4 linked regions of the Lonchura striata genome follow. The protein of the gene in region 2 purifies or fractionates together with the protein of the main gene of each other region. This does not show direct contact. Links are inferred from orthologs where the notes say so. Each region holds a gene or a part of one and is shown on either strand. Other genes may lie near its edges.

What was found.
Region 1: the proteins of CTNNB1 (region 2) and HDAC7 purify together in Homo sapiens (affinity purification with western blotting; 5 studies listed by BioGRID, with this or other methods). This does not show direct contact. The link is inferred for Lonchura striata from reciprocal best matches to the Homo sapiens genes CTNNB1 and HDAC7.
Region 3: the proteins of CTNNB1 (region 2) and SMARCA5 purify together in Homo sapiens (affinity purification with mass spectrometry, with the first as the bait; 3 studies listed by BioGRID). This does not show direct contact. The link is inferred for Lonchura striata from reciprocal best matches to the Homo sapiens genes CTNNB1 and SMARCA5.
Region 4: the proteins of CTNNB1 (region 2) and CTNNA3 purify together in Homo sapiens (affinity purification with mass spectrometry; 4 studies listed by BioGRID and IntAct, counting the BioPlex papers as one, with this or other methods). This does not show direct contact. The link is inferred for Lonchura striata from reciprocal best matches to the Homo sapiens genes CTNNB1 and CTNNA3.

Annotation. Positions count from the first base shown.
Region 1 is NC_134629.1:8,687,207-8,694,727, reverse strand, and holds the start of HDAC7 (histone deacetylase 7), read left to right. Parts: upstream 1-4,512; 5' UTR 4,513-4,559; coding exon 4,560-4,703; intron 4,704-6,126; coding exon 6,127-6,217; intron 6,218-7,247; coding exon 7,248-7,359; intron 7,360-7,453; coding exon 7,454-7,521. UniProt on the Homo sapiens protein: Responsible for the deacetylation of lysine residues on the N-terminal part of the core histones (H2A, H2B, H3 and H4).
Region 2 is NC_134603.1:112,026,338-112,034,290, forward strand, and holds the start of CTNNB1 (catenin beta-1), read left to right. Parts: upstream 1-4,936; 5' UTR 4,937-5,055; intron 5,056-7,953. UniProt on the Homo sapiens protein: Key downstream component of the canonical Wnt signaling pathway.
Region 3 is NC_134606.1:64,813,228-64,820,384, reverse strand, and holds the start of SMARCA5 (SWI/SNF-related matrix-associated actin-dependent regulator of chromatin subfamily A member 5), read left to right. Parts: upstream 1-4,152; 5' UTR 4,153-4,251; coding exon 4,252-4,386; intron 4,387-6,671; coding exon 6,672-6,746; intron 6,747-7,157. UniProt on the Homo sapiens protein: ATPase that possesses intrinsic ATP-dependent nucleosome-remodeling activity.
Region 4 is NC_134609.1:35,368,597-35,376,579, forward strand, and holds the start of CTNNA3 (catenin alpha-3), read left to right. Parts: upstream 1-4,980; 5' UTR 4,981-5,093; coding exon 5,094-5,118; intron 5,119-7,983. UniProt on the Homo sapiens protein: May be involved in formation of stretch-resistant cell-cell adhesion complexes.

The sequences.
Region 1 (7,521 bases), on a different chromosome or scaffold from region 2:
GCTTTCCCAGGGCCCGCGGGGAGGCTCCGAGTCACAACCTGCCCTTCCCACGGAGGATCCACGGGCTGGGTCTGCAGCTGCCGGCACAGGGATGGTTTGTGCGATGGGCTCCTGGCCCCGCGGCTGTCCCAGTCCCAAACTGCGGTCCCAGACTGTGATCCCGGTCCTAATCTGTGATTCCAGTCCCAAACTGTGATCCTGGTCCTAAACTGCGATCCCGGTCCCAAACTGTGATCCCGGTCCTAATCTGTGATTCCGGTCCCAAACTGTGATCCCGGTCCTAATCTGTGATTCCGGTCCCAAACTGTGATCCTGGTCCTAAACTGTGATCCCGGTCCCAGACTGTGATCCTGGTCCTAAACTGTGATCCCGGTCCCAAACTGTGATCCTGGTCCTAAACTGTGATTCCAGTCCCAGACTGTGATCCCGGTCCTAAACTGTGATTCCAGTCCCAAACTGTGATCCTGGTCCTAAACTATGATTCCAGTCCCAAACTGTGATCCCAGTCCCAGACTGTGGTCCCAGTCCCAGACTGTGATCCCGGTCCCAGTCCGTGCATCCCAGTCCCAGACTGTGATCCTGGTCTCAAACTGTGATCCTGATCCCAAACTCTGCATCCCAGTCCCAAATTGTGCCTCCCAGTCCCAAACTCTGCATCCCAGTCCCAAATTGTGCCTCCCAGTCCCAGCTCCTGAGGGTCCACTGGGCAGCAGCAGGAGCCAGGCTGGGTTGGGGACAGGGACAAACCCCCAGGAGCCGCGCTGGCACTTCACTTTTGGCTTTTTTGGGGCGGGGGGAAGGGGAGGAGGCGCGGGCTTGGCCGCCGGCCCCTGGATCATGCGGGAGGGGGTTGTTTACTGTAACTCCTGGCCCAGGGCCCGGCAGCAAACCCCAAATGAATTCAAGCTGCACAGGGAGGTCACAAGCAGCTCCCGGGGCAGGAGGGGCTTTGCCGGGGGGTCCGGAGCTCAGGGCTGGGGAGCATCCCTGAGGAGGTGCCATGTGCAGGGCCCTCACCCCCGAGGGTCCCCGCATGGGGACAGTGGCTCTTGGCCAGAGCCCGGGTTTGTCTCCCAGTGCCACCAGCCCTGGTCCCGCGCCGCCCTGGCACCCAGCACGGGACGTTTTGTTTCCCAGCTCTGCAAAACCGCCCCGAGTTTGGTGGCCTCATCCTGGCCGCGAGCACCGGGGCTGGGACGCCAGTGTCACCCCGGGGCACGCCAGGCCAGGTCCTGCTCCCAGGGCGCCTCTTCTCATCCCAGCCTCTGAAAATCCACTCGGGCATCCCCAGCGCGGGGTGGGCAGAGCTGGGGGCCGCGGCAGGAGCGGGCTCCACGCAGCCTCTTCTTCCCTGGCTCCAGAGCCTCTTGGCCCTGGGGATGCTCGACAGCATTTTCCTGGCTCCAGGCGAGTGGTGAGGAGTTGTTTTGTTTTTCTGGCTGCTGCCCGGCCTCCCTCTCCCCCAGCAGCCCCCATCCCTCCCTGCTCCGCTTCCGCCGCCTCGCAGTTTGTTTTTACAGGGATTGAAACAAATGATGCAGAGAGAGATTCCCAGAGCCCCCACCAGAGCTTCCCCTCGGCTCTGCTCCCTCCTGGAGGTGTCTGGAGCAGCCCCTCCTTCACCTGGGGTGCCCCAATCGCTTCCCACTCCTTTCCCCCACCACCCCTTTCCACTCTTTTTTTTCCCTCCAATCCCTTCCCACCCCAGTTTTCCTCCCCAAACCTTCCCATCCCTTTTTTTCCCCCAATCCCTTCCCACCCCATTTTCCCCCCAATCCCTTCCCACCCCATTTTTCCTCCAATCCCTTCCACTGCATTTTTCCTCCCCAATCCCTTCCCACCCCATTTTTCCTCCCAGTCCCTTCCCACCCCATTTTCCCCCCAATCCCTTCCACCCCATTTTTCCTCCCCAGTCCCTTCCCACCCCATTTCCCCCCAATCTCTTCCCACCCCATTTCCCCCCCCAATCTCTTCCCACCCCATTTTCCCCCCAATCTCTTCCCACCCCATTTTTCCTCCCCAATCCCTTCCCACCCCATTTTCCCCCCAATCTCTTCCCACCCCATTTCCCCCCAATCCCTTCCCACCCCATTTTTCCCGGGAAGGGGCATCATGAGGCTGTGCTGGGCCACCATGGGCAGCTCACGCCAAACCCCGGATCTTCCCGTGGGCATTTTTAGGGAGCAGAGAAAGGCTGGGACAACTCTTGGGGTGCCACCAGCCGTGCCTGGCTGGGCTGCTCCTTCCCCCGGTACCCCGTTCCCACTGGAGTGATGATCCCGAACACAGCCCCCGGCAGCGTCCCGGCTGTCGCACACCCCTCGTGCGGTGACATGGACGGGCACGGCCGAGTTCCCGCACACCGGCGGCGTCCCGGGGCCCGGCTGCCATCCCGGGATGTGGCAGTGCCAGCCTGTCCTTGTCCCCCTGCCAGCAGCCCGTGTGCCACCGCCGCTGCCAGCCCTGCTCCCGCGTCCTGAGCGGCGAGGGGACAGCGGGGGACAGCGGGGGACAGCGGGGGACAGGAGGGACAGGAGGGGACACCAGGGGACAGGAGGGGACAGGAGGGGACAGGAGGGGACACCAGGGGACACCAGGGGACAGGAGGGGACAGGAGGGGACACCAGGGGACACCAGGGGACAGGAGGGGACACCGGGGGACAGGAGGGGACAGGAGGGGACAGCAGGGGACAGGAGGGGACACCGGGGGACAGGAGGGACAGGAGGGGACAGGAGGGGACACCGGGGGACACCAGGGGACAGGAGGGAACACCAGGGGACAGGGGGGGACAGGAGGGGACAGGAGGGGACACCGGGGGACAGGAGGGACAGGAGGGGACAGGAGGGGACACCAGGGGACGGGGGGGACAGGAGGGGACAGGAGGGGACACCAGGGGACACCAGGGGACATCAGTGGACAGGCCGGAGCAGACAGGAGAGAACAACCAGGAGGGGTCAGGCTGGAGGGGACAGGCAGGGGGGGACAAAAACGAGGGGAAAAGAAGGAGGGGACAAGAAAGATGGAGGGAAAGATGGCAGGAGGGGTCAGCAGGGGACAGCAGGGGACAGCAGGGGACAGGCAGGAGGGGACAAAAACGAGGGGAAAAGAAGGAGAAGACAAGAAGGACGGGACAAGAAAGATGGAGGGAAAGATGGCAGGACGGGACAGGAGGGGACAGCCAGGAGGGGACAGCAGGGGACAGGCAGGAGGGGACAAAAACGAGGGGAAAAGAAGGAGAAGACAAGAAGGAGGGGACAACCCCACTTGTCACTGCATCCTCCAAAATCGCGGATGCTCAGCCCGGTTTTGGGGAGCCCCGAGGCAGGGGCACCTTCCCAAGGCTAGGGTTGCTGATCTCCATCAGCCTCCCTGTCCCGGGGTGCAATTAGAGCCAATTAACTGGCCACTAATGAAGTGCCAGGCCGTTATCAGGAGATGGAGAGTGGGGTGAGGTTTCCTGGTGGGGTTTTTCATGGCCTGAGGTCGAGGGTGTTTCTGTGAGGGGGAAATCCTCTGCGGCAGTGGGTGCTCCATGATCAGTGAAAAAATGGAGCGGTTTTGGGGGTGTAAGGGACGATTTCAGGTGTGTAACTGGGGCTGGTTTGGGCGTGTAATTGATAATTTCAAGTGTGTAATGTATCATTTCAGGTGTGTAACCGGCATGTTTTGGATAGGGGTTTTTGTATAATTTCTGGTGTGTAACTGGCACTGGTTTGGATGTGTAATTGATAATTTCAGATGTGTAATGGACAATTTCAGGTGTGTAACTGGCACTGGTTTGGGTGTGCTATGTATAATTTCAGGTGTGTAACTGGCACTGGTTTGGGTGTGTTATGTATAATTTCTGGTGTGTAACCGGCATGTTTTGGGTGTGTTATGTATAATTTCTGGTGTGTAACTGGCACTGGTTTGGGTGTGCTATGTATAATTTCTGGTCTGTAACTGGCACTGTTTTGGATGTGTAATTGATAATTTCAGATGTGTAATGGACAATTTCTGGTGTGTAACTGGCACTGGTTTGGGTGTGTTATGTATAATTTCTGGTGTGTAACTGGCACTGGTTTGGGTGTGTAATTGATAATTTCAGATGTGTAATGGACAATTTCAGTGTAACTGGCACTGTTTTGGATGTGTAATTGATAATTTCAGATGTGTAATGGACAATTTCAGGTGTGTAACTGGCACTGGTTTGGGTGTGTTATATATAATTTCTGGTGTGTAACTGGCATGTTTTGGGTGGGTTATGTATAATTTCTGGTGTGTAACTGGCATGTTTTGGGTGTGTTATGTATAATTTCTGGTGTGTAACTGGCACTGGTTTGGTGTCCCCACGGCGCTGGGGTTTCACCCCTCAGGGAGGTTGTGCAGGGAGCATCTTCAGAGCCCTTCTCCACCGCGGCGCCGGGCAGAGGCGCCTGCAGCCCCCAGGAGCCTCTGCAGAGCAGTGGCATTTCCAGGAATCTCCTGCCCCAGCTGCCGCGTCCGAGCTGTGTCCCTTTGTGTCCCCGCAGCTGCCGTGAGCCCGTGCACCTCCCCGCGGGTGCCCCAGGCCGTGCCCATGGACCTGCGGATCGGGCAGCGCGTGGTCAAGCCCCAGGACTCGGCGCTGCTGGCCCTGAAGCAGCAGCAGCTGCAGCACCAGCTCTTCCTGGCCAGCCTGCACCAGCAGCAAGTGGAGCAGCTCACCCACCAGCACGTCAGGGTATGGGGCAGGGCATGGGGGGGCCCACACCCCATTTTTGGCAGGGTTTGGGGCAGGATCGGGCACTTTGGAAGGTGAATTTTGCCCCCAGAGCGCAACAGCGCTGGCAGAATCGGGGCTGGCTTTGAGTTCCCCTCTCTGGGCAGGGATTCAGAGGAAAAGGCTGGAAATCCCAATGCCAAAATGACATTCCCAGGTGAATTCCTGATCTTCCCTGAGCTGGAACATCTGGAGGGGTTTCCAGCCAGCCCAGGGACCTCTGTGACGCAAGGAGGCTGCTCGGGGAGGCAGGTGGAGGGGTTGTGTCTCAATTCCAGGCCAAATTCCAGAGCTGGAGCCTCCCGGCGTGTCCAGCACGGGCAGAGCAGGAGCCAGAGCAGCTGCAGGGGATCCCTGCGGGCCGGGAGCTGCCCCTGCTCGGCAAGTGGTTTTTTGGGAAGTGTCACCGAGCTCTGGTGCCACCCGCAGCTCCTGCCCCACGCAGGGGCACTGCCAGGTTCCATTGGCACAAGAAACCAGCGGGATTTGGTGGGGATGGCTCCTCCAGTCCCGGGGATGGCTCCTCCGGGAGGCTTCAGAGGGAGGCAGGTGGGAGGACACGTCCAGGGAGCTGTGACCACGTCCAGGGAGCTGTGACCATGTTCAGGGAAATGTGACCATGTCCAGAGAGTTGTCATCGTGTCCAGGGGGATGTGACCATGCCCAGTGAGGTGTGACCACATCCAGGGAGTTGCAATTGTGTCCAGGGAGTTGTGACCACGTCCAGGGAGGTGTGATCACATCCTGGGAGGTGTGATCCTGTCCAGGGATGTGTGATCATGTCCAGGGAGCTGTGATTGTGTCCAGGGAGGTGTGACCACGTCCAGGCAGGTGTGACCCTGTCCAGGGAGGTGTGACCATGCCCAGGGAGGTGTGACCATGCTCAGAGAGTTGTCATCGTGTCCAGGGAGTTGTGACCACATCCAGGCAGTTGTGACCATGTCCAGGGATGTGTGACCATCTTCAGGCACCGAGATCCCCCTGCCTGTCCCCAGGGCTGCTCTGGGCTCGGGGCAGGAGCCAGTTCCGTGGATCAGCTGGGATTTCCGATCATGGATCTTTTTTTCCTTTTGTACTCAACAAAGATTTTTATTTTTTGCCGCGTTGCAACACCCAGACGTGTCCAAACACCCTGAGAGGAGGCAGCGAGTAGGAACAGACAGGTTTTGACTTTTATGATGTCCCCGGGGAGAGCAAAGCATCCCTGGAGACCGAAACGCGTCCGGTTTGTTGTGATGGAGCAATTTCACGGGTTCCCATCAGCCGGGGTGACACCGGGGACTGTCCCAGGCGAGCTCTGTGCCCCGTGTCCCCCTGCCTGGGGGTCAGAGGGCTCAGGTGGGGCTGGGGTCCCTGCCCATGTCCCGGTGTCCCTGTCCCACAGGTGGCCATGGAGTCCCCGCACCGCGAGGCTGAGCCGGGCCAGCAGGAGCAGGAGCTGCGGCAGATCCTCAACAAGGACAAGAGCAAGCGCAGTAAGGGCTGCCTGCGCCCGGCGGGCACCAGAGGGGCTTTGGGGAGGGGGCTCGGGGGGCTCTGCCCTTACCCAGACCCGCCTCTGCCTTCCCGGGGTTGAAACGGGTGGGAGAGCATCCGCAGAGCGGGGCTGCAGACCCCGCTGGGTCCCCGGGCTGGGGTACGGACCCCGCTGGGACCCCCGGGCTGGGTTATGGACCCCCTGGGACCCCCGGGCTGGGTTATGGACCCCATTCAGGTGACAGACCCCTCTGGGATCCCCGGGCTGGGTTATGGACCCCCTGGGACCCCCGGGCTGGGTTATGGACCCCATTCAGGTGACAGACCCCTCTGGGACCCCCGGGCTGGGTTATGGACCCTGCTGGGACCCCCAGGCTGGGTTATGGACCCCATTCAGGTGACAGACCCCAGTGGGACCCCTGGGCTGGGTTTTCAGACCCCTGGGCTGGGTTTGGTGCCCCTCAGACTGGGGTTGCAACCCCCACTCATCCGCCAGACCCTAGTGGGACCCCCGGGCTGCGTTTTTAGACCCCCAGACTGGGTTTGCAGCCCCCCGGGCGGGTTATGGACCCCGTTCAGGTAACAGACCCCTCTGGGACCCCCGGGCTGGGTTTTCAGCCCCCCAGACTGGGATTTCAGCCCCCCAAACTGGGTTTGCAGCCCCCCGGGCTGGGGTGCGGCCCCCTCCCAGCCGCGGTCTCTCGGCGCCCTCTGGTGCCGGCGCTGGAGGAGCTGCCAGGGGCTCGCTCCCAATTTCGGGATGCTCAGGGCTCCGCATCGCACCTAATTAATTATAACTTAGTTAATGAACTCGTGCTCGGAGGTGCCGAATGCTGGCACAGATCCGTGGAGCTTCCTGCTGGCGCAGACAGAAGGGGTCGGGATGGGAGCAGAGCCAGCTGCGCCTCTCGGGGGTCTCCAACCATCCTGGTGGCACTCCCGGGGTCGGGATCCTGCCCGCGGGGACCCTTCAGAAGGGCTCTGAGCCCCCTGGGGTCCCCGTGGTCGCTCACCATGGTCACCCTGCAGGTGCCGTGGCCAGCACGGTGGTGAAGCAGAAGTTGGCCGAGGTCATCCTGAAGAAGCAGCAGGCGGCTCTGGAGAGGACCAGCAACGCCCCCGCTGCAGCCCTGCCCTACAGGTAAAGCATCGGCACCCTCGGCCCCCACAGGGACCCGCCCCTGCCCAAACCTGCTCAGGGACAGCTGGGAAGGGGCTCCGGCTTCTCCCCGCAGGTCCCTGGAGCCTCTGGAGCCCGAGGGTCCCTCCCCTGCCATGCTCAGCACGTTCCTGTCCCCCGTGC
Region 2 (7,953 bases):
AAGAAGGAGGTCGGTGTCACACCTCTGCAACTGGTATTGTTTTTTCCTGTGATTTTGGATGTCTTTTCTGTCAGGGCACCTCAACACAACCATTGCAATTGTTTTAAATAAGGAGTGTGAGACCCATAACTATGAAGAGACAGACAAACAAAAATTTTAAAGGAAAACTTAGGCGCTGCCACAGATGCGGTGATGACAATGTTTTGATCAGTATTGTGGATTTTTTGCTCACATGATCATGCATTAAATTTTGAATATAAAGCCATCTTGATATTTGTTTGGCTAGTAGTAATTAAAATATACGCACTGAGAAATGCAATGCTTCATATTTAATGTTCCATTGCTTAATTTGCCAGTAATCACATATTCTGATGAGTAATGCCTCAGCTACTAAATCAGCTGGAGACTTAATCTTAGTTTCTGACACATACCTAATAAATAAATTGTTGTAGGAATTCATGTATACTGAATTAAATAAGAAAGTTTTAAGGCATGTTGCATTTAGTCAAAATGAACAGGAAGGGAAAGAACAACTTTTGTTTAAAAATCAAATTAGTGACCAATGACAATTCTATTTCTGATGCCTGCAGCAACATTTATAGAAAACTTCAATTTATGTCATTTGAATGAGGTAACAAGATTTTTGATCACTATCTTCTGTACTAATTTATTACTAATTTGTAGGGTCTTTCTTTCCTTCAAAATCACCTACACATGCACTTTTTTTTTTTTTAATAATTTTTGAGAAAAGTAAAATCTCACCATTTTTTCTATTTTCAATAATTCTATTTTTCTTTGTTGATAAACAACAACTTTTTCCCACTGAAACTGAGCCTGAATGGCATAGCTATTTACTTTAGCAAAGACCTTGACGTGTATTAATAAAATGTAGGTCTCAAATATGAAGCAGAAGTTACATTGATTAGTCCTGTGTCTCTAAGAGTGCTTAAATATCACAAGCATCTCCCTCTCTTTTCCCCTTCGCTCCTGTATGAAAGTGAGACTATGTGACTTTTTTAATACACTACAACCTTACTTTGCTGGAAGAAGACTCCTTTTATTTTTTTCTTTCTGGTTAAGAGGATCAGAATTATGTATCTTTTTGCTGACAAGTGAATATATATTTAGTCAGTGTCTGAAAAAAAATATCTGTAGTTGATTCTTGAATATGTTCCTAGAGCATGCACAGTTAGAAGCCAATTATGCATACATTTTTAAGATCCATATGGGAAATCACAGATTCAGGCCCAGAGCCCTAGATATTTCTGTAATTGGTAATTTTGCTTTGTCCTCATATTAGTACCATGGCTACTCATTTGTTACTATGTTCCTTATAAACAAAGTTAAACACCAGGATTTTAGAAGGAAAGGTGACCATCTAAGTTTACATTTAACTGTTTCTTATTTTAATTAAGGGGCTTCCTACTTTTTACTGTACTAAAAGTGGAGTCTACAAAAGCAGTGCTAAGGATGAAAAAAAAGTTAACAAAAAGATTTAAATCATTATCTTTTAAAATTCAACCATGAAGCTCTCCTTTGCACTGAGGATTTCTTACTGCAAGGATACACAATGGACATGTTAGGAGACTGCTTGACCTCTTAAAAAAAAATATGTCTGCAGCATACTCTTCTAGTAAACTGCCACCAAAACAAACCTATTAAAGTATAAAAGAGCTCAGAGGAAACTTCTGAAGCTGCACAGACACACTCAGTGCTTCTTGGGGAAGAAAGGAAAAAAAAGTAGAAGAGGAAGAATAACTGGACCGTTTGTGAATTTACTGATGGAGCCCTGTACTGTAATATTCCATATAACATTTACTGTTCTTGTTTTGATAGTGGAACTTTACACACTGCATTTTAGAAAAATTAGGAATATAAAATGTATTTTAGAAACATTTTTATAATTGAGAGAACAGCGACAAGTTAATTGTAATTTCAATTCGGCTATTAAGATTGTTTCTCTGAAGTAGGGGTTTGGGAATTTTTTAAAGGTACAATTTTAGAAAATGTTTAGCTACCTAATAGCTAAAAGTTGCAAAGCTGATATGAACCAAATTTCTATAAGCAATGTGACTAGATGCAAAAGTATCCTAACCACTTTGCAGCGAAACAAATAGAGATTAAAATTACAACCCATGCAGAAGTAAAGCATCCAAAAATCAACAAGAGTTAATCATTAGGTACTAAAGGCCAATATATTATTTAAATATATATATATAAGTTGTATGTTTTAAACCTGTTTTTAAAAGGTCTAGTTCCAGTTGTCCTCGTCAGGTCAAAAAGAAAAGCGGTCCACAGTTCAGGGGCCAGAAGCAGAGACATGGACTGCACCCTTCCTGCTCCTGCAAAATCCAGGCTCCAAAAGCCCCATCCCTGCAGACCTCGGGGGGTGGGATGGCACACAAAGAGCCTCTGAAAGGTATCTGGGACCATGCAATACATCAAGGGCATTTGACTGATTCTACTGTTGTTATCAAGTACCCAATGGAATTGCTTATAGCGAATTTGGCAATAATGCCCTATAGAAACAGCACTTTGAACTTATATAGTACCTTTGATCCAGGGATCTAAAAGGAGGGGTTTGTCAGTATTACTATTCCCGTTTTACAGAGGGTGAAACCGAGGCAGAGCAGATTTTCTGAAGGTTGTAGAAGAAGGCAGCTGAGAAAGGAAGGTGGATAAAGAAATTAACTCTTCCCTCCACACCCTTTTCTCTTTTTTTATTGCTTGACAATCTTCAATAATACTTTCTCTGGCTCTTATCTTAAATTGGGATAAAAATTCTGGTGTCAAGAACAAGGTCCTTCTGCTCATAGCTGCACCAAATAACTCCCCAGGAAGATGATGAACACTCACGGTCCACTGGCCTGATCTGGCAGAATTTTCTTTGCCAGCTCTTGCCAACAGTCACCCTCATTCTTGCCCCTCTTTTGACCAGTATTGTCAGAACGGGCAACTGTCCCAGGAGAAAACAGGAAAGCTGCATTTCTCAATTCTCCAACTTCAGGGTTGTCCAAGTAGCATTTCTTTTCCTTACTAGTGGGCACTAAAGGTTGCCCATAGCAGAGGGAGGCTGGTGGGTGAATGATTGCTATGCCTTGCAGTGGCAGGGGTAATGGGAGGAAAATAGGATTTTTTTTATCACCACTGCCTTTCCAATGCCATAGGAGTAGTAACAGCTAACCCACCCTTGGAACACTTCTCCGGCACTTGCCTCACTGGATGTGGCCCCCTTGTCACCCATGCCAGTTCCACCTTGTCTCTTGTATGCAGCAAGCCTTACATTATCCTGCCAACAAACCTCCAGCCCAGGATAAATACCCTGTTTTAAAAAGCTCCAAATTCAAAAGAAAGCAGCTTATGTGAAAATCAAGCAGCACTGTGAAAGAGGTTCCCTTAGAGTAACTCTACATCTGACTGAATAAATCAATGGGGGAAAAAAACCAAATCTTTAATTGCAACTTTCTAACTAGAAACTTAAGAGCCTGTTTAAAACTGGATTATCAGTGGGAAAAAACAAGCATAAAGGTAGTCCCCATGTGAACCGCGCATCTCCCTGCTGCAAAAACTGCACAAACTGGGGGCTGGTGGGGGACGAGACTGGAAGAAGGAAAAAAAGAATTCAATCTCCCACATCAGCCCGTGCCAAAGCAAATTTATTCTGCGGGGGGAACAAAATAATATACATCTTTGGCTCTGGCAATGGATGTTTCCCATAACCACGTTGTATATTCGGTCCTTGTTTCATGTGGAGAGAGGTGTGAATGTATTTTTCCCTCCTGGTATGTTAAACACAGACTTTGCCACTGCAAGACGATGCACGCAAAAAGTCTGTAAAACATTCTGCTGTGCAAGCCCGATCACGCCGAGAAGAGGCCGCCGCGGACGTGCCTTCACACGCCGCGAAAAAACCTTGTGCAATTCGTATTTTCCTGTTTTTTACGAATCGCTAAAGGAGCGAGGGGAGGGCTGGGAGGAGGAGGTGTGTGTGTGTGGAGGGGGGTGAAGAAGGGAAGTTCGCTTCTCCCTTAAAAAAAAAAAAAAAAAATTGCATAACGAGATACTTTCTTTGGCAACTGCTTCCTGACAAATATTTACAAGGGCAGAGCGGGAGCGCGTTTCCGCCGCCTTGCCGGGCCGAGCCGCGGGCCGGGCTCGGCGGCCGCCCCGTCCCAGCCGGGGCCGACTTCCCGCGGCAGCCCGAGATCCCCCGGACGTGGCGGCGCGGGCGTCTGGGAAGACGGAGTTTCGCTACAGTTGGTGCCGTGCACTTAAAAAAAAAAAAAAAAAAAAAAAAAGAAAAAAAGAAAAAAAAAAATTAAAACCCCAGGCAACGAAACTCCAGATTAAACGGGGGGTTTGGAAAGGAGTAGGAGAGAGGGAGTGACACGCGCCTTTTGCCCCCCACCCCCACCGCTCCCCTTCCCAAAGCAGGACCCCGGGTTGATCCCCGCAGTCGTATCCCCTCCCCCGCCGCCTCCACACCCCTCAGGGCAGCAGCAACTTCGTTCCCAAGCCGGGAACTAGGATCCTTCTTTCCCACCTCCGGAATAAGGTGTCTCCGCCGCGCTCCCCCTGCCCCGGCCAGCCCTGCCCAGCCCTGCCCAGCGCCGCCTGGCCCGGCCTTCCCCCATTCCGCCGCTTCCCCGCTCCCTGTCTCCCTCCGCCCTGGGAGCCGGGCACTATTTCTCCTCCTCCCTCTGCCTGCCCTGAGCGCCGGGCGCCTATGGAATGCCGCGCGCGGGGCCCGGCCGCGGCGGCAGGATACACAGCCGGGCCCGCCGCTCGCTATAAGAACCTCCTTGTGCGCGACGCCATTTTAAGCCTCTCGCTCGGTTCGGCGCTGGGAGCAGCGGCGGCGGCGCTCGGGGGACACGAACACCGCCGCCCCGTACGGTCGCCACCCGGAGCCAGCGGCGGGGGCACCGCCGTGAGCGAGGAGGAGGCGGGGGACGAGGAAGGAAAGACGGACCGGACCAGGATCGCCCGGGCAGCAGCAGCAGCCGCCGCCGCCGCCGGAGCCTGGAGGGACCCTGAGCTCTCCCTTCCTCCGACGTTAGTGCCGCTTTCTCCGGCGGGAACTCGGGCAAACCCGGGCCGGGCACCCCCGTGGCCGTCAGGGGGTCCAGGGAGTGCCCAGCGGGAAGGACGGGGCTGGGGGAGGGGGGAGCGGGGGTGGGAGAGAGGTGGGGGGGCAGGAAAGGAAGAGAGAGAGGGCTCTTGTTTTTGGGAGGTCCGGACAGCTGCGTGGCTGCAGGAGCGGCAGCTGCGGCTCCCGAGGAGTCTCTTGGGAAGCTCGTCCTGGGGCGAGGGGGTGGCTGCTCCGGGCGGGAGAAGGCGAGCCCATGCGCCCGCCTCTGCTCTCGGCTGCAGCAGCGTCCGGAGTACTTTAATGGCCCTTTTTTATTATTATTTTAGAGGTTCTTCCCCCTCCCTTTTTAGGGGACTACTAACTCGCTGTTGGGTATCAGATCCCCTTTGGCGATAGGAGGGGGAAGAGAGCAGGGTACGGGTTTATTTGTACGGAATATAATTAATCACGGTCACTGCAGTCAGCGGGAGATAACTAATCTGTTGCCTTGTGGGGTTTCGCTTTTAGTGGCGTTGCATATTTGCCGGAGAGGCTGTGCTGCTGCTTCTGGGTGTCACCGAAATGAAGCTTTCCCGGAGCTGGGAGCAATCAAATTAAGTTTTTTAACACCCACCTTACCAGGGTATTGCAGGGAACGACCTGGGCTGCGGGCGGTGTTGGGGCTCCCACGCTGCGAGGGGAAGCGCCCGCTGCTTCCCGTGGCCGGCTGGGGGACCACGGCGGCTCCAGCTTCCCGAAGTACCGCGCTCCCGAGCTGTGGAGATCAACTCGCGGTTACTCCCAGAATTGTCTAGGGCGCTTCTTTCTCTAGGAACAGGGTCTCCTGGGGTGTTGTGGTTTGTTGTTGGTTTAGTTTGTTTTTTGGTGTTTGTTCTTTTTTTTTTTTTAACAAAGCTTAGTTCGTCTCTTTTGTGCATGATTAGCTGCTCCTAGAGCAGCAAGTTTTCTTAAATGTAGCAAAACCTTACATTTTTCCCTAGTTAAAACTCGATGTAGGATGTTGGGTCGTTTCTTTTTGTGTCTCTTTCCAAAAACCTCTGAAAATTATCCTAACTGGAAAGAAAGGACAGACTGTGTGAAGGTACCACGAGCAACTTACTTGTGACTTTAGGAATAGCAGTGTTGATCTTTGTAATCAGCTACTTCTTGATCTCTTTCTCATGGAGCAGCCATTGTTCTGACACTCTGTATATTCCAGACATCTGTGGTCCTCCCATCCCCCAAAGTATGCAAGTGGTGAATGGAAAGAGGCTGGGCTGGTATGCTGAGGTCGACGGACGGAAATCAAGGAGGGGTTTTAGTAAAACAGGATCTTTATGTACTGAGACTACAGTAAAGCAAAGACGAGAAAATTAGTTGCAAGAGTGTCAGGGTTTTCTTGATCTAAGTTCGGACACACCAGTCAGCAACTTCCTAGTTATGATTTTGATTCTAAATGAGAAAAAGATACTGCTGCGAGGCTCCAAGAAAAAAGTCTAAGCGGCAAAACTTAGTGGTGTGTATTGGCCCAAGTTATAATGTGAATTTCAATACGTAACAGTCCAGGAACCTAATGTTGATCTTGCACTTTTGATAAAAAGGTGCTGACAGCTGCAGGTATGTGACTGCTGTGTCGTTGTCTAATGGCTGGTACTGTTGCAAATGAGGCTGCTTAGGTATTCAGGCAAGAGTTTGAGGCTCTCTAAATTCAACTGTTCAGTTCAAAATTATACTGAATGTCTCATTGTTCTGAGGCTGTTCTAAATAAATGTCATATTTGTTTGTCTGTTAGTTCAGATATTTTCTATTTAGGTGTAAACTGATATCCAGGGGAATGTTTGGTCTGTATGGCTGATCATTTCCACAAAGTCTAGGAGACAAGTACAAACACCATGTTGGAAAGGACAATGCCATGCACGATAGCTTCCAGGAGCAAGGATTTAATGCAAAGTAAAGCTTGATTGGAAAAATCAGTTCTTCAAATTCTGTGTTACAGCCTTATCAAACCAAGCTTCGTTTTTCTTGCCTAAGCTATAAATAGAATGGGCTCTTTGCATGGTGTATGTCTACTCTGGACACCAGCATTTTGCTCTGACTGTGATGTGTCAGTAAGTAGCTTACCAAACCTTGGCTGTGAAACCTGGTTGCCCTTCAGACGAAATTATTTTTTTCTGAAACATCTGTCCATCTGTAGTGACTCTACATCTGGATTAGCATCCTGAAATACCATGTTCTGAAGAGTTCTGAGTTTTTGGGGATGTTAAGGCAAGAGGTTAATACTAGTGGTGTTCTGATTTTGCAGTGTTTTCAGGAGTGGAAAGGGAAGTGGAAAGAATAGAGCAGGAAATATGGCTGCTGGAGGCTTCTGTCTCAGAAATTGAAGTCTGAGTGTGCTGTCTGAAACTCTTGGATAAGGATGTTTCTGTAGAGTATTGTCTAGTAGGCAGACTGGTGTGCAAATACATCGGTAATCAAAATCACTTACCTTAATTCAAAGTTAAACTGGTAATGCTGGGGTTGTGGTGATCATGCAGTTGCCTGCAGCAAAACTTGTTCTGTGACTGTGGTAGCCTGCATACCATGGCAGGAAAATCGGGACTGACCTTACCTATCTTGAACATCTTACTTGACAAAGCCTGGTAAAACCTGTGAGAAACTGCAGGCAGCTGTGTCTTGCTTCTGTGTCCTCAGAACATGCACCTGCAAATTCTGAGCCCAGTGCTTTGCTGGCTGACTGGGTGGGAACCCAGAAATGGTAAACTCCTTGGCAGTAAGTATTGTGTGTAATTCTTCTTGTTTCTTTATATAAAATTATTTTCCTGAAAGGGCAATATTTCTGATTTTCCAGTTAAGCACCAATTGAATTGGCTAGACTTGCCAAC
Region 3 (7,157 bases), on a different chromosome or scaffold from region 2:
AGCAGCAAAGAAATAAAATCTAAAAGCATTTTATTAGTTCTGGGGTTTTTTTCTGTGAGGGTGCTGCTTGTTACAGAATCTCCATTCTTCGAGGATTTCTGTAATGAGTATCAGCATTTGACTCCATATGGGGTCATCTTTTTTTGCATGGGTAAAATTTACTGATCAAAGGGATTGTTTTAAACTAGGCACAAGCAGAGTCTGATATGCTATCTGCATGCCATGTTGCTGTTACCAAATATTCTCTCATTTGTGGTTGGACACAATTTTAAAAACTTTTGGTCTTCACATGTCACTATATTTGCAGTCTACTTTTTGAAGGTAGACACACGACAGGCTTACAGTTTGCTTAAGCACGTCAGATGAAGTCTGGGCTGTTTCTTTTCTGTGAAAGTTTAATTTTACCAGGATGGCTACACTAAAATTTGAACAATCTCAATGTCATCTTCATGGCACTCAAAATTTAAAAAGCACAAGGATGAAATGTATACACCTACATATGTTAAACTCTAAAAAGTTTCCATTGCATTAAGAAATCTACTGAAATTAATATATGGTATTGTTTGCATATGTTGAGGTTTTTTTTTTTTGTGGGGATGGATTTTTTTAATACTGTAAATCAATGTGTTGACAGTTACGATAAAGCTGATGACAGTGACCTTTGCTGATAGGCAGAGTGTTTTGGGGTTTTTGTTTTATTTTGGGGGTGGTTTTTGGGTTTTTTGAAATAGATATAGCATTATTTTGATGACTTCTTTGACTGTTGATCGTGTGTGTGTGTGTACACCACCTCTTGCCTGCAGCACTGTTAATCTGAGGCTAGAAGAAAAGTGACAGTGACAGAAGTGATGGCTTTGAAATAAGTCTAATTGTATTTACTCTTGATGGGATAGTCCAGCTCAACATCAGCCTTGTGAGGAAGTAGAACTGGCAGTATCTCATCTCACGTGGGTAGTATCTTGCTTTGGCTCTGTAAACTAAAAAAAAATTACAATCCCCCACCTAAGATCTGAACACAAACCAAGTTCTTACCCCTCTCTTACCTTCTTGAACCCAAATGAGCATATCATGGAGCAACTACAAACAACTCTGTTTCACTCCTTCCGTTTCCCAAATTTTGGGAAGTTTTACAGTTTTGATACATGTTCAGCAATGCCTATTAGCATACTTGCTGCACAGCTAATAGTATCAGAGTTACTTTTACTTGTGGTGTTTCAATTTCTTGTTTAACAAGGAGCCATCTAAAGAACATTAATTAAAATTAGATTGCACAACTAAGCAACAAAATTGAAAGATGTGTCACCTGAGAGATTTGACAAAAATCTGTTATTAAACTGTTGTTTACTAACTTCATAAGCATGTTAGTAATTAGTTGTCTCTACTGTTGGGTAATGGCTGAGAGGGGATATCTTCCTTTACTGTGCATTTGACCATTATGTAGGTGTTCAGTAGGTTCAGTAACTTCTGTTATGAATTTCTTTATGCCATTGGTTGCTTTCAATTTAAGGTCTTCACATCTGGACTCTGTATGGACTGTTATGGTTTTGTGTGTTTGTGAACTTTTTCATGTTAACTTGGAAAGTCCTCTTTCCTGCTTTCGTTGGGGTGTTTCTTTGGAGGGGGGTGGTTTGGTTGTTGTTGTTGGGTGGGGTTTTGTTTCAGTTTTGGTTTTCTGGAGGTTTTTTGCATAGTCTTCTGTGCTACTTTCAGGACTTCAGAAAATTCAAAAAAAAAAAAATTAGAGCCTTTTGTCTTTTAACTTTTGGCAAGATTCTTTTTTTTTTTTTCAATTATTTTGCCTGTTGAAGTAGAGCTGAACATTCACCTTTTCTGATACCAATAACACAAATATCTCAACACCCCCACACCCTGGCATGGTGCTGTTTTATTTTGCTAGATGGCCAAGGATCAATGAGATTTGGATGGAGTTGTGCTTTTCTACCTTCCCCATCAAACCAGATCCTACCTATCAGTTTTAGTCTAAAAGATGGTGTCAAAGGTGTTGAAATATCCTCGCCACTCTTCCCAAACACCTGACTTCTTCCCAAGGGCCTTCTACCCCATTTTCCTTCACCAGTGATTCTCCATGTGTGGTTTTGTTTGTGTGCTTTGCAGGGGAGGCAAAAGATGAAAAATGGGAAAGGGGGAATGTAGCTCCCTTCCCACCATGACTTACACTCCTCACTACACAGAGAGCACTGCATTATCTGGAGCAGCTCTGGGAGAGGGGCAGGAGCTGAGGCACAGCAAGTAGACACAAAACTACGCTGGAAGAATAGAGCTGGCTAAAATAACACAGTTATTTTAATTTGTAATTTGCTGCCACATGTATTTTTAAAGTTCAAACTGTGTACCTGAATGAAAAGCATTTAGCGAAGCTCAGGGACAGAGTTTTCATCTGTGATAAGAGAGGACAACGAGGAGTTGGAAAAATATGTCAGTAAATTTGTGATTAGCTGAGAAATCCTATTCTAGGAAAATTGATATTTTCTGGGAATTTATTCTTCTGAGCAGTTCTAGCAGAAAAAAAGTGACACCGTCTTTTGGAAATGTCAAAGCTAATAATTTTAACTTCAAAAAATATTAAAGGATGCCTGTAATAAAAGACAATGGAATGAAGGTTGTAATAATCATCATGAAGATGGTCTGTTTTGCTGCTACATTCCAGGCTACAATGGTTTCTCAGAAGATGGAAGATGCAGCTCCACAAACCTATGGAGTGCACTCAGTGGCTGCATCTACACTGACAACTCTTGTGAATATTGCCGGAATACCTACTGGTGTGACAAATCTGCAGATGTATAGAGCAATTTGGATAATGTGGAGAACATGACTGTCCACATTGTGAACCAGTCAGGGGAGTTTTGCTTCTAACTAGCTCAGGTCTGGCCCTTTGGACAGCCTCTGTTAGCACCTTGAGTGCAATAGTAGTGCTCTTAAGCAGCTTTTCCTGTTCAGTTTCATCCTATTCCGTGCACTCCAGGGTTCTGGGATGCATGCTCTGGTAGGTGGCACCTGGCAGGTTATCTGTGAGGCATTGCAGGTGTAGATCTGCTCAATTACATCCTAAAGCAGGGGGCTGCAGCCCACGATGCTTCAAGCTGGGAGCAGACACTGTGGTTGTATTTAGGTTACAAAAGTGTACTTCTGTGCCTACAAACTTGGCCTGGCTCAACCTGAGCAAGCGAGAGCAGGGGACTTTGGAGGGTGGCTCTGTGTGACACCCTTTCTGTGAATGTTCAAGTCCCTCTACCCAGAGCTCATGGAGAGATGAGGAGCCCATAGAGCAACCTGAAGCTGCCTCTTGAGTAACTTACGGTATAGCACACTGCTGTCACCTGCTTTAACCACGCTCCCTGCCGCTCCCGCACGGGGTGCGGGGCTGCTGCTGGGCTCCAGCCAGAGCATGGCTTCACCTCCTCAGGTGATTCCTGAGCCTTTCCTGGAGGGCTGTGAAGATGGTGAAGGGCCTTGAGGCGAAGCCACGTGTGGAGCAATTGAGGTCAGTTCAGCCTGTAGCAGACTGAGGGGAGACCCCATTGCAGTTGGAGATTGAAGGGAAGAGGAGGGATAAGCACTGAGCTCTTCTCTGTGGTGACAGCGAGAGGATCCCCCAGGGAACGCCCTGAAGTTTTGTTGGGGAAGTTTAGGTTGGATGTCAGGAAAAAAATCCTACCCCCAGAGGCTGGGCCTGCGCTGGAACAGGCTCCCCAGGAAAGTGGTCACAGCACGAGCTCAAGAAGCATCCGGACCACGCTGGGGCACAGTGTGACCCTCGGGCATGGCCTGTGCAGGGCCAGGAGGCGGACTCGGCGATCCTCGCGGGTCCCTTCCAACTCGGAATACGCTGTGATCGTACACAGGGCGTGAAACGCGATGCCAGCCGCGATTTGAACTCAGGTTTCCCGTACGGCTGTGCATCGCAGGGAGGCGGGGACGCCGCGGTCGCACCGAGCGCCGCCGAGCTCGGCGGGGCCGGCGCGCGCCGCAGCGCCCCCACCGGCGGCGGCGCGCGCTGCTCGCGGGGGAAGTCTCGCGAGCGCGGGCTCGCGGGGCGACTCGCGCGCGGCTTGGCGGCTCCCGCCGGGACGGGCCGGGCCGGGCCTCGCTCCCTCCGCCGGCCGCGCTCCGACACCCGCAGGCCGCCGCCGCCGGCAGATCCCGGCTGCCGCCCGCGCCTGTCCGCAGCACGCAGCCCGCCGGACGCCAGCCCGAGCCTCGGCGAGGCGCCGTTTCCTCACGACGCGGATCATGTCCGCCGGGCAGCCGCCGCGGCCGGACGAGCCGCCCGCGCCGCCGCTGCCGCCGGGTGCCAACACCGGCGAGGCCGCGGGGACGGGGCCGCCCTGCGCCGCCGGCCTGGCCGGGGGCGACGCGAAGATGGAGGTGAGTCGGTTCGGCCGGCGGGGTCCCCCCGCTCCCCCGGCGGCAGGTGGGACACCCGGGCCGCGTGGGGCCGCGGGAGACAATGGAGGAGCGGCCGCGGGGCCGCACCGGGCAAGGCCGGGCCGCGCTCGGTCCCGCCGCCCTCCCGCCGTGAGCGTGGCCCGGCGCCGTGCGATGTCTGCGGTGTCCCGTCCTTCTCGCCCCCTCCCCGCCGCGGAGGGGTCGCGCTCGTCCTGCCGCTGGGACGCGCGGAAGAAGGCACTGCGGCCGAGGCACGCCACTTGTTTTCCAAACGGGGCGGCGGGAGCCCCCCGCGCACCCCCAGGCTTTCTGTCTGCTCCTGCTTCCCCGAAACCCTGCCCAGCCTTTGCGCTTCCTGCTCCAGCCGCCAGCCAGCCCGGTGTCTAAAACGCATGAGCGATGTTTGTCTGCTGAAGTGCTTCAAAACTTTTTTCTATTTTTTTTTTCCTTTTTTTTTCTTTTGAGAAAAGAGGTGCGAGGGTTGTGAGAGGGGTTGTTTTGGCAATAGGTGCATATATTCCAGAAATTTCAGGGGGTTGGAAGTGATTGCCTGGAGATGCTAATTCTATCGCGGCATTGTTTCTTTAATGATAGCAGGAAACTGGTCGGTCCTGCTTTCAGCGCTGGGTATTTTGTACTCTGAGTCACGCTGGGCTGTTCAACCTACTTGTGCTAAATTACATTGCAAATGCCATGTTTTTCGGATGAACAAGTAGCCAAAGCACTGTGGGAAATTAATCTTGCTCGAACCTGCAGAAATAGGGCACTTCCAGGCTGGAGTTTAGCGTGTGCAGGCTGAGAAACGCGTGCTCTTGTGGCGCCCGTGTGCGAGGGCTCTCTGTGCTGCCAATTCCTTTCCTTTTTTTACCTTGGGAAGGGATTTCCTGGCGTACAGTGAAGTTTGAGTTGGAATGCCTTGGAGCCGTGAGCATCTGAAGGACTGTTTTCCCTGGTCTCCAGCTCAGCTGCAGGGTTCTGTCATCTGTGCAGCAGATGATGAGCTCGGATGGCCGTGCCGCTCTGCTGCTGTGCTTTCCAGGTTAGGCATTGTGGCAGAAAGGGGAATTGCGAACAGAAGTTCCAACGGTCCTCTGCTTGTGCTTACTTGGGTGTTGGCTCAGTCCAGTGAGGGATGAGTAAGAGGATTTAGTTATGATTTCAGAAGAGCTTTAGCCATGACTTCTTACACTCAATTCTTTATATTCTGTCTAGTGAATTAAACATTTGTGTTAGGATTTTTCTGTTTCCACATGCCTCACCTGCTAGAGGCTTGTGAGGAAATACCCACTGACGAATATCCTGTTTCTTGCCAGCCTTTGTTTCATTTGTTTCTTCTCCTGTTCCTTTGTTCTGTATTGGCCGATAAAGATTTAATTTAGCCCCATACTTACTAAACTCAAATAAACAGTAAAAACACTTGACGGCATCTCATTTGTTTCATTTTCTCAATCTTTCAACAGTTATTTTGTTATGTGTTACCTTAGCATTGTTTATCAGGGAAGGATCATCTCACTGCTTTTAGTTTTAACAGGAGATGAAAATGCATATGGGGAGACAATATGCAAAGAGTTAACCTAATGACAGAAAAGACAAGGATGAAAAAGCCCTGATCCAGAAGAGTAATTTAAGGCAGTATGTTAAGAATTTGGCAGGAAGGGCATGAGGGAAGACTGCCCTCTCCTAGCCAGCTGGTCCTTCTGTTGTTAGTAGTACCATGGGTGATAAACATTATTTAATTTAGTAAACTATGTAGGAAAAAAAAAATACAGTTTCCTAAACTCCTCCTCAGCTTTCAGGACAAAAGTGCAGTGTGGATTCTTGTTTAGATTTGTTTTTTTAATACACAGTGATGAGGGATTGGGGTAATCTGGCAAAAACCTTGAAATTGCTTCAGGCCTAGAGCTGGTGCTTTCACAGTCCGTCTCAGAGCCAGCTTCAGGGGGGTTGGCTCACAACCCTAGAACTGGCATGCTGATCTCCTGGACCACAGCTGTCTCCCTCATTCACATTGATGTGATGCTTTAATGATGGAGCTAAATCAGATTACAGAGACTCAGCTCTGTCCCTCACCCTGTGGCAGGGATCTCCGATTCATCTCCAGGTAATTGTATAGGTAATAATAGAGAACTGACTACTGTCTATCCACATCAGGTGCTACGACCAACTTTTGCTGCTTTGATACAATGTGAAACGAGCTTGTTCTCCTTTAGATGGGTATCTTCTCTTTTTCAGAAATATTTCTTCTTAATTCTTTTTCATCTCAGGAGCCTTTTGATGATACGTCTCTGGCAAAGCAAAAAGAAATCCAGGAAACAGATCCTACATATGAAGAGAAAATGGTATGTAATATTTGGCACTGTGTACATTTAGTACTTATGCACTTATTTAAAATAGATTTGAGTTTTCTGTTTGCTTGTTTGAAATATCTTAAACAGATTTATAAAGATTTGTCTGGGTATTAAAAAATATTTAAGTAACTTGAAACAAAAAATATTCAGAAGAACACTTCTGGGACCATTCTCCTTTCCAGGATTTTAAAGTTACCTGTAGAGCAGTTCATCCTCTAGGCAAGGGGGATTATAAAGAGTTGAGCATTCAGCTTCTCGGTCAGAACTGGAAAGATTGTCTAGGAATCTCTTTATGAAGCTTTAATTAGAGTCCTCAGATTTTTGAAGATGGATGCTGGTTTTGTGCTTCACAGGTTAGAAAGGAGAAAATTTGTTATTTTCCTTCTTTTTTATTTTTTCATA
Region 4 (7,983 bases), on a different chromosome or scaffold from region 2:
TTAGCAGATTAGCAAAACTTAACTCATATCCATTTTTTAAATGGCCGCTTTGGTGGAAAATCTTACAAATGAGGGATTATCAATCTGGAAGTGTGTTTTGAATGTTTTGTGAAGGTGAATGAGGGAGATGTGCATTGCATCTATATTTGAGTGTGGATTTACAGCAGTGGCTTTTGCTTTCCTTCTTCCCCTTTCCCTTCTCGTGTTCAGCCTGAATGGCTTTGCCATTGCCTTCCCTGGTGTCCGATTTGGGTTCCTGTGTCAAACCTGGCTTGCAAGGCTAGGCATGAGCTTGGGTGGCTCTAAGGGGTATTTTCAGTAGCAAGCTGCCACTGAGCTCGGCGCTACTGCTTTGGGAGGAGTCCCAGTGGAGTGCTGCCCTCACATTTTGTTTCTTACAGCTGGGTCTGACTGGCACATTCGCAGCCTCGCTGCCCCTGGAGTCCAGCTGCCTCAGGTGGAGTTCTTCACAGAGCCATTCCTAGGAGCTCCTTTCCTTGGAGTCTTGATTCAAAAGGTAAGATTGGAGAAGAATGTAGGCAATTTTCCTCTTAGTGGTGGAAGTACATGAAGCTATAAATGGAACTGTTGCTGCTTGATAAAACAATCACTCCAAAAGTTTAAAAAAGTTAAAACGCTGGCTTTCTTAGCCAGCTTTCCAAAAAAAAAAAAAAAAAAAAAGAACTTTTAAACATGATTAAAAAAATCTGAATATTAAAAAAAATCCTGAATATTCTAAATATTTTAATTGTCATGGTCTTATCACTTCAGGCTAGTAGCTGAAGTTCTGCAGTGTGTTTGCATATTTTCCAGATATGAGAAGCCACTTTGGAATATTGGAAAAGGAAGAATAAGATGTTGTATGGATGCTATTAGTTTAAAAAATTTAGTTTACCTCCTGATACTTTGCTGGAAGTTGCACTTAATTGAAGGAAGGTTTGTGTAAATGTATGTTTATCGCACCTCAGTGTGAAAATAATAAGTTACTGCACAATTTAATGTAATTTTAAAAAAATTCCAAAATATTACAAAAAATATTATAAGAGAGGGCTACAGGAGGGCTGTTACATTCAGTGTAACATTGTGCATATTTCAAGACCCTTATGTGTGCACCTTTCTGTTAGGTTCAGACCTAGTGAAGCCCCAGAGATACCCAACAACAAAGAATTAGGCTATGTGACAGGCATTTAGGAGGAAACCATAATGAATTCTTACTGTTTTCTCCTACTTTGATCAGTGTTGGGAAATTAATTCACCTTGGAACAAAGTTTGGTTTTTTTTTTTCTCTTTATGGCTGCTCTTCAGCCAGATGGTTTTGAGTTGAACTGTGGGCAGAGGTCAGAATGGGCTGGAACGTCCTTAGGCTTTATTTCTGAAGCTGTTTCACCAGAAGTGCTTTAACAGCTTTGTAGGGGTTTTCTGCTGAGCCCTGGTGTGATTTGAAACCAGTTGGAAGAATTGATAAAGGAAATAGGGTGCTGTGCAGCAATGGGAACCCCACTGGAAGAGTAAATCTGCATATTGAGGTCTGTCCATGTTTGCAGGCATGGTGTGGAGGGATTGTGGCTTTACTTAAGTACTATTTTCTGTCCCTTTTCATTAGATTGTGCTGTTGTATGTGCTAAGGAAGCTGCTTGCCAGCATTCAAAGTGAGGCACTTTCTAAGAGTCATTTCTCTCTTATTTTCATGCATATCTCAGAGTCAATATGTTTTATATATATAAGTGTCAGTCACCGTCACCATTGCTACTCTTAATTTTGGGGTTGTTTTGAGCGTGTCTGTAAGCAGTGGGGAAGAAGAAAACTTCTAGAATGCTAAAACACTATTTAGATCACTGGACAAAACAATTAATGCAGACCCTCAATGAAATGGTATGTGATGGTGAAGCATCCTGGGGTAGGCCATGGGTAGGAAACAGCCAAATCTGTTGGCAAAATCAGAAGCAGCTCTACAAAGAGAAGAAACCCTGGTTTTTTACCTCTTTGCAGTTGAGAGTTGAGACACATATTTAAAACGAAACAGCAGAGTGTAATGCTGTAATAGATAACTGTCAGCAAATAGCAATAAGGGGAAATGGGGAGCTGTATTTAAAGTAAATAAAATTTGAAACCTTTTAGTAGCACCTCATGGAATTTCTATTATTGTCTATTATTTTAATGAGTTGAACAACATCCTATTTTTAGTGGAAGGTCAACTTGAACTTTATTTGAACGGGGTCTCTGGTTCTGAACACAGATAGGAGCACGTTAAATGTGATAACAAAAGAGAAGGCTTGGAGCCAGACCTCCTTAACCTATCGTTAGGGGCTCAGATAGCCATCCATGTAAGAACTGTGTGCCACTTAAATGGAGAGCAGTCCTTGTTCTGGGCTCAAACTGCACGCAGTGAAAATAGCACTGAGACTCATGTGGAAGGATTTTGGGGTTTCATTTAAGAATTTAAAATAGATCCAAAAAATAGTAATGATTATTTTAAAAAATGAAATGCTGCCATCTGATGTCACACCACTTTTTTGTGTGTTATTTTTTTTTTTTTTAAAGTAAGTGCTTTTTCAGTTTCTTAAATATTAGAACTCTAGTTTTCAGATGAAAAACTGCGGTACCTGCCAAAATGTACATGGAAGAAATGTTACAAACATTAAAGTATATCTAGCCTAAGCAGTATTATTTTAATTCTGCTGTCACTCACAGTTGTGCATATCCAGTAGAACTCCACTGTTGAGTGAAATTATTTTATTTTTCTGGTAGTGAGATACTGTCAGGTTCCCAAGTTTCCATGTTATACTTCACTGGGAAGATGTTTCTTGCAGTGGCTGTAGGTTTAAGGCAGTAGCACATTTTTTGGATAGCTGTTGTTTGAGAAGCAGTCCTGAGTGCCAGTACAAAGCCAAAGGCTGTGGAACTGCTCAGGCTGTAGGATTCACACTTCTGCTGGAACATCTCCTGGAATTAGTTGGTGTTGCAGCTGGCTGAAGTGTGTGCATTCACCAGTGGAGGGGTTCTGATAGGATGTTTAAGGCAGATGGTTTCTGGCCTTACTAGGATGAGCAATACTAATATCAGGGTAACCTGAACATAGGAGTAAGAATAGAGATGATGTTCTATAGAGTTATGGTGTGAATTGTTTCTGAAAGTGTTTTACTCTCCTCAGCCTGCTTTTTGGCCTTGATTAAAGAAAGTGTGGGTAAGGTACTTCAGTGTTGTTATGGTTTTATTCCAGTACTCTGCCACTGGCATTCTCTCTCATCTTGAGTAAATAATTTTTCCTCTGTGATTCTGTTTCCTTCTGTGATACTGGAACACAACCTCTGCTTGAAACAGTGCTTGAAATAGAAAGCACTGTAGGAAAAGAAAACATGAGTACTAAACAAGGAAAAGAGAGCTCGTTCTGAGTGTTATAAATCTGGGAAAAAATCTGAAATTTTTATCTCACTAGCTATAAGAAAGTTTTCACGAGACAAGTTTGTTGAGGTGCAATGCTTTATCCCACCTCAAAAGTTTTTGGTTTTTTTTTTCATAAACCTTAATTAAACCTTTTAATGTCACTACTAGGTCAGTCATGAACCATTGCTTGCCATGGGGATTCTCCAACACCCATAAAGAACTAGGCTTACACTGTTTTCTTGGTAGATTGATTGTAAGGTATGATATATCACATTATTTATGTTGAGAACTGTGTTGAAGAACTTGGTGGAAGTCTTATATTCTTGTGAATTTTAACTGCTCATCAGATGTGGATTGAAAAAGTGCTCTTGGGAGATGGTAAACACAGGCAGAATTGAAAGGAAATACGAAAAAAAAGTGCTATGTTTTTTTGGTTTTAATTTTTGGGGCTGCGATTAAAAAAAATCTTCCAGTTACTTCATTGCTAGCCTACACCTAAATGCAAAGCCTGTTTAAATAAAGTAGCTTTATGTGAATTAATGTTATTAATGGGTCTGAATCTTGCCACCGTCTCCTGCTCTACTTGTGGTGTCTGTGCATTAATAGACACGTGTCTTGTTGCTAGTGGTAAGAAATGATGAATTCTGAGATGGTTATAGAGCAGCCTGACAGCTTTGTTTGGAAATTTAAGTAATTTACCAGGTGCTTTATAGACTTTACCTGGTGTTAAATGGGCCAGGTCCTTTGGAATACTGCTCCATTCCAGAGCATGGTCTGGCCTACAGAGTACAAGTACTCTGCAGTAAAACAGTGTGCACTTTTCTTTGCCTGAACTACAAGCTTTTAGCATCCTGAATGTCTTATTTCATGTGTCAGCTAGCATTAAAGCAAAATGTGGTAATTGTTTTTTGTGGCTTTATGAAGTCTGATTTGCACTCTCTGTACTGACTGTAGCAAAAAGGCTAACAAGTTATATTATCAGAGTGCTGTTGGTAACAATTAATGAAGCTGTAGAGGAAATACTGAAATTAAGAACAAATAGTAAAAAAAATCTGTTATGTATTCTCAGAAATGTTTCGTATCTTGGAAATCCTCAGGTGCCCTGTCCATATGTATCTTGGTAAAAAATACAGATCCTGACTACTTTGTTTAAACATTTCTTCATTTTTTAGAAGGCAATAGGCCTTTGCATTTTCTGAAACTGCTAGGATAATATATTGTGTGTCATTGCAGGGTACCATACAATAGTAAAAAAACAACAGAGAAAACAATTTTGGTGCCAAGTTCTGTGCAAGAGCTTTATGAATCCCTTTGCTGTCCAGCTCAGGAGTCTGAGAGTGAGTCACTGCCTCCAGACTGAAGTTGGCATACAGTCAGAATGTATGGCAAAACAGTTGCTGTGCTGGAAATTACAAGAATTATCACAGGAAGTATAAGTAATTTAATGCTTCGTGTCCTCTAATTGTTCAAAACCTTCTCAGCTCTAAACTTTTTTGCCGTGCTTATGCTCTCCAATACAGCTTTAAGGATGCCCATCCCCCTGCCAGCCCTCCAGCCGCCGCTGTGTGCTGTCAGTCATCCTGAAATACACTGGGAGCTTGTCAGGCTGTCCCTTGCAGATGCCTCAGGAGCCCCATAGCGAGCCAGGGCAGTTGCACTGAAGTTCCTAACCCAAGGAAATTTCATAGGCACTTGCTTTAGTGCTGCATATGGACCATATGTTTTCTAGCATAGGTGAGTGACGCTGTTGGCTTTCTAACAATCTGGCAGGAGATGGATTCTAAAGTAAAGGTTTTCTAATTTATGCAGAATGTCTTTGGCTCTGCTTTCTGACACTTATTAGTTAATGTCTGTATACAGTGTACTTACAGATTCTAAAAAAAAAGCTGCAGGTGCTACGTTCACGTTGCATTGCAGATGGATATAGGCTTCGGCTGGTTTTCCAGTGTCTTTTTCTTATTACACCAAAAGACTCAATAGTTTTGTATTATCTTGAGGTGGGGAGCATTTGGTAGGAGTGTGCAGATGGTTGGTTTTCTGGCTGTTCTGGGACACAGCTATATCTTGTAACACATGCTTAACATCCTAAGTGTTGTAAGAGCTGCTGGTGTACAGGGCTGAGATTGCCTTCTGTAAAGGTTAATCTAACTGAGTGTGAGGTTATACAGCCTTTTACCAAAACATCTCGCAGTTAGGGCCCCTGCTGTAGTTAGGGGGATGTTATACTGGAGTAGACAAATACAGTTAAAAAAAAAAAAAAGGAAGGTGGAATGTTGATTTTAATATTTTTCCTGAGGCAAACATCAGATTTGTCATCTTAATGAATATGATGCGGAAGGACAGAAGTTCAGTTAGTAAGTGGAAATGCCAGAGAAAATCCCAGGATGATCTTTACTGACTGTATTTTCTTCCTATCGCCTCTTATCCTTGCCTTAATTAAAAAGAAATAACTAAAGAGTCCAATTTAAATATTGATTTAGCCAGTATGGTATATAACAATAAAGAGAGCCTGGTAAGCTAAAAATATGCAGTCAGATTATCAAAATGATTTAAGATCTTGTGGTTTTTGCTGCATTGGCTTGCAAAACTGTTTCCATCTTTTTAGAAACAAAAGGAGGTTTCAGGAAGCATTAGAATTTTACTTAAAAAATATTGCTGGAATCAGCAAGTGAACCCTTAAGTGAGCTATTTATAGCTTAAAATATAATTGAAATTTTCAGAGACAATAGTTTTTGCAATTGACTTTCAGTTGATGACTCGTTATGGCCTGACTCAAGGCTAAAAGCTATTATTGCCTTAACTGGCTTTTGAACTCAGGGCTCAAGCAAAGAATAAAAATGCTGATGTTAGACAGTATGCTAAGGGTAAGAAACAAACAAACAAGCAAAAGCCACAGAACAACCCAGAATAGGGAAAGTCATGACACATGGATTCACATTTTTTCTGACCTGCAAAAATGGGGTTGGATTTGTAATACTTTCCAAGTTTGAGAGTGCTCCAATCTGTGGTGGGATTCTGGAGCACGGTGGTCCTATAGTAACAGGAATTTATTACTTTTAATTTAATTACAACGACATATTTATCTGCTAAAATTTAGAAAAAGATCTGATGATTGCAGATAGCATGTAGCAGAGGAGATTGTGCTGTGAGAATGGAGAGCAAGCAGCAAAAAGGCTTAATTTCTCCATTTTGAGTAAAGCAGGTGCTGAGGCCCTTTATCAAGGAATTTATCAAGGTTTAAAGCGTAAGTGTATCTGCAGAAAAACAACCCGATTCACCTCGTGGTTTCTTTAGGGCTCAGCAGGAGCATGAAGTACAGTTCCCATCCCGTTTACCTGTCCCCTTGTAACTGATGTATGTCTGACCAGAAAAAAATGCACAGCACAGTCAATACCATCTGTTTGCGACTGTTATGATGGATTTCAAGAAGTGCCCATAGTTTGGGAGACTTGTGAAAATATCAAAGATAAGGGTTGGTACCCAGCACCATCATAAAGATTTATTATTTTTCCTAGTGTGAATAAAAAGCAGATTCATTGAAATATTGGCCAGAGATTTAGAAAACCAGTGAATTACAGGTGGCAGAAAAGGATCTGTCTTTTCCAGCGTGTGTAATGATGCGGTTTGACGCAATCCCAGTGAAACTGGGGGACAGTATCTTGTTGAATTTAAATGCTTTTTGAAGGAGGGGTGAACACAAGGAAAGGGCTCAGGAGCTGCTGTGCCGTGTGTTCAGAGGCCTCCCCTGGGGACCTGGAGCTCGCTGCAAGTGCAGGGATGACAGACATTAGTGGCGTTCAAAGCTACTTGTTAGTATCGGACAGAAAGATTTAGGGGTCTCAGAGTTTGTTTCCTTGGTGTTTCTTGAAAGTATCTAAATGTTAAATATGTAAAATATGGGCAGATAATTTGCTTTGACATTTCCAGAGTTCTCTTTCCATTCATATCTGTGGAAGGAAAAGTGTTTTTTTCTGGTCGGTCTGATCTCAGGTTTCTTTGTCTTTTGGCTCAGAATTAAAACTGAAAAATCAGTTCTTTCCAAATGCTACCTCCTGGCTGGATGCAGCTGAATTTTTTTGGAACTTAGCTCTGCCATTAGTATAGTTTGTAGTTAAAGATAAACTTGGCGCTTGGGTAACCTTTAATAAGAATGGCAAAACCCTAAATTGCTTTATACCTTAATTCTTTTATTGCTCATATTATCTTTGCTTGTAAGTGAAATGTGAATAACCCTCCAGATTAATATCTACACCCCTTGCTATAGGAACCCTAAACCTACTGTGTTTTATTAAATCAGTGCCAGGTTCACTGGAAGGTGACACTATATCTCTTCAGCCTGCACAATTGCAGTACCGAATTACTACATTGTACAGCAGCAGTGGTTGTAATGAGTTTTGCTTAAAAAGGACAGATAACCGTTATTTGTGTATTTGAAGTCATTATTGGCTAAAAAGGCTTTGCCAAGCTGTATTTTATAAGAAGGTAAGGTACTGTGAAATTTAAAGTGTCTTTTATTTTGGGACAATAATCGGTTGCAATCCAGCTAAAGCAGTTATAATTCTTTGTTGACACACACACACATTTCAGGCTAATGGCCTG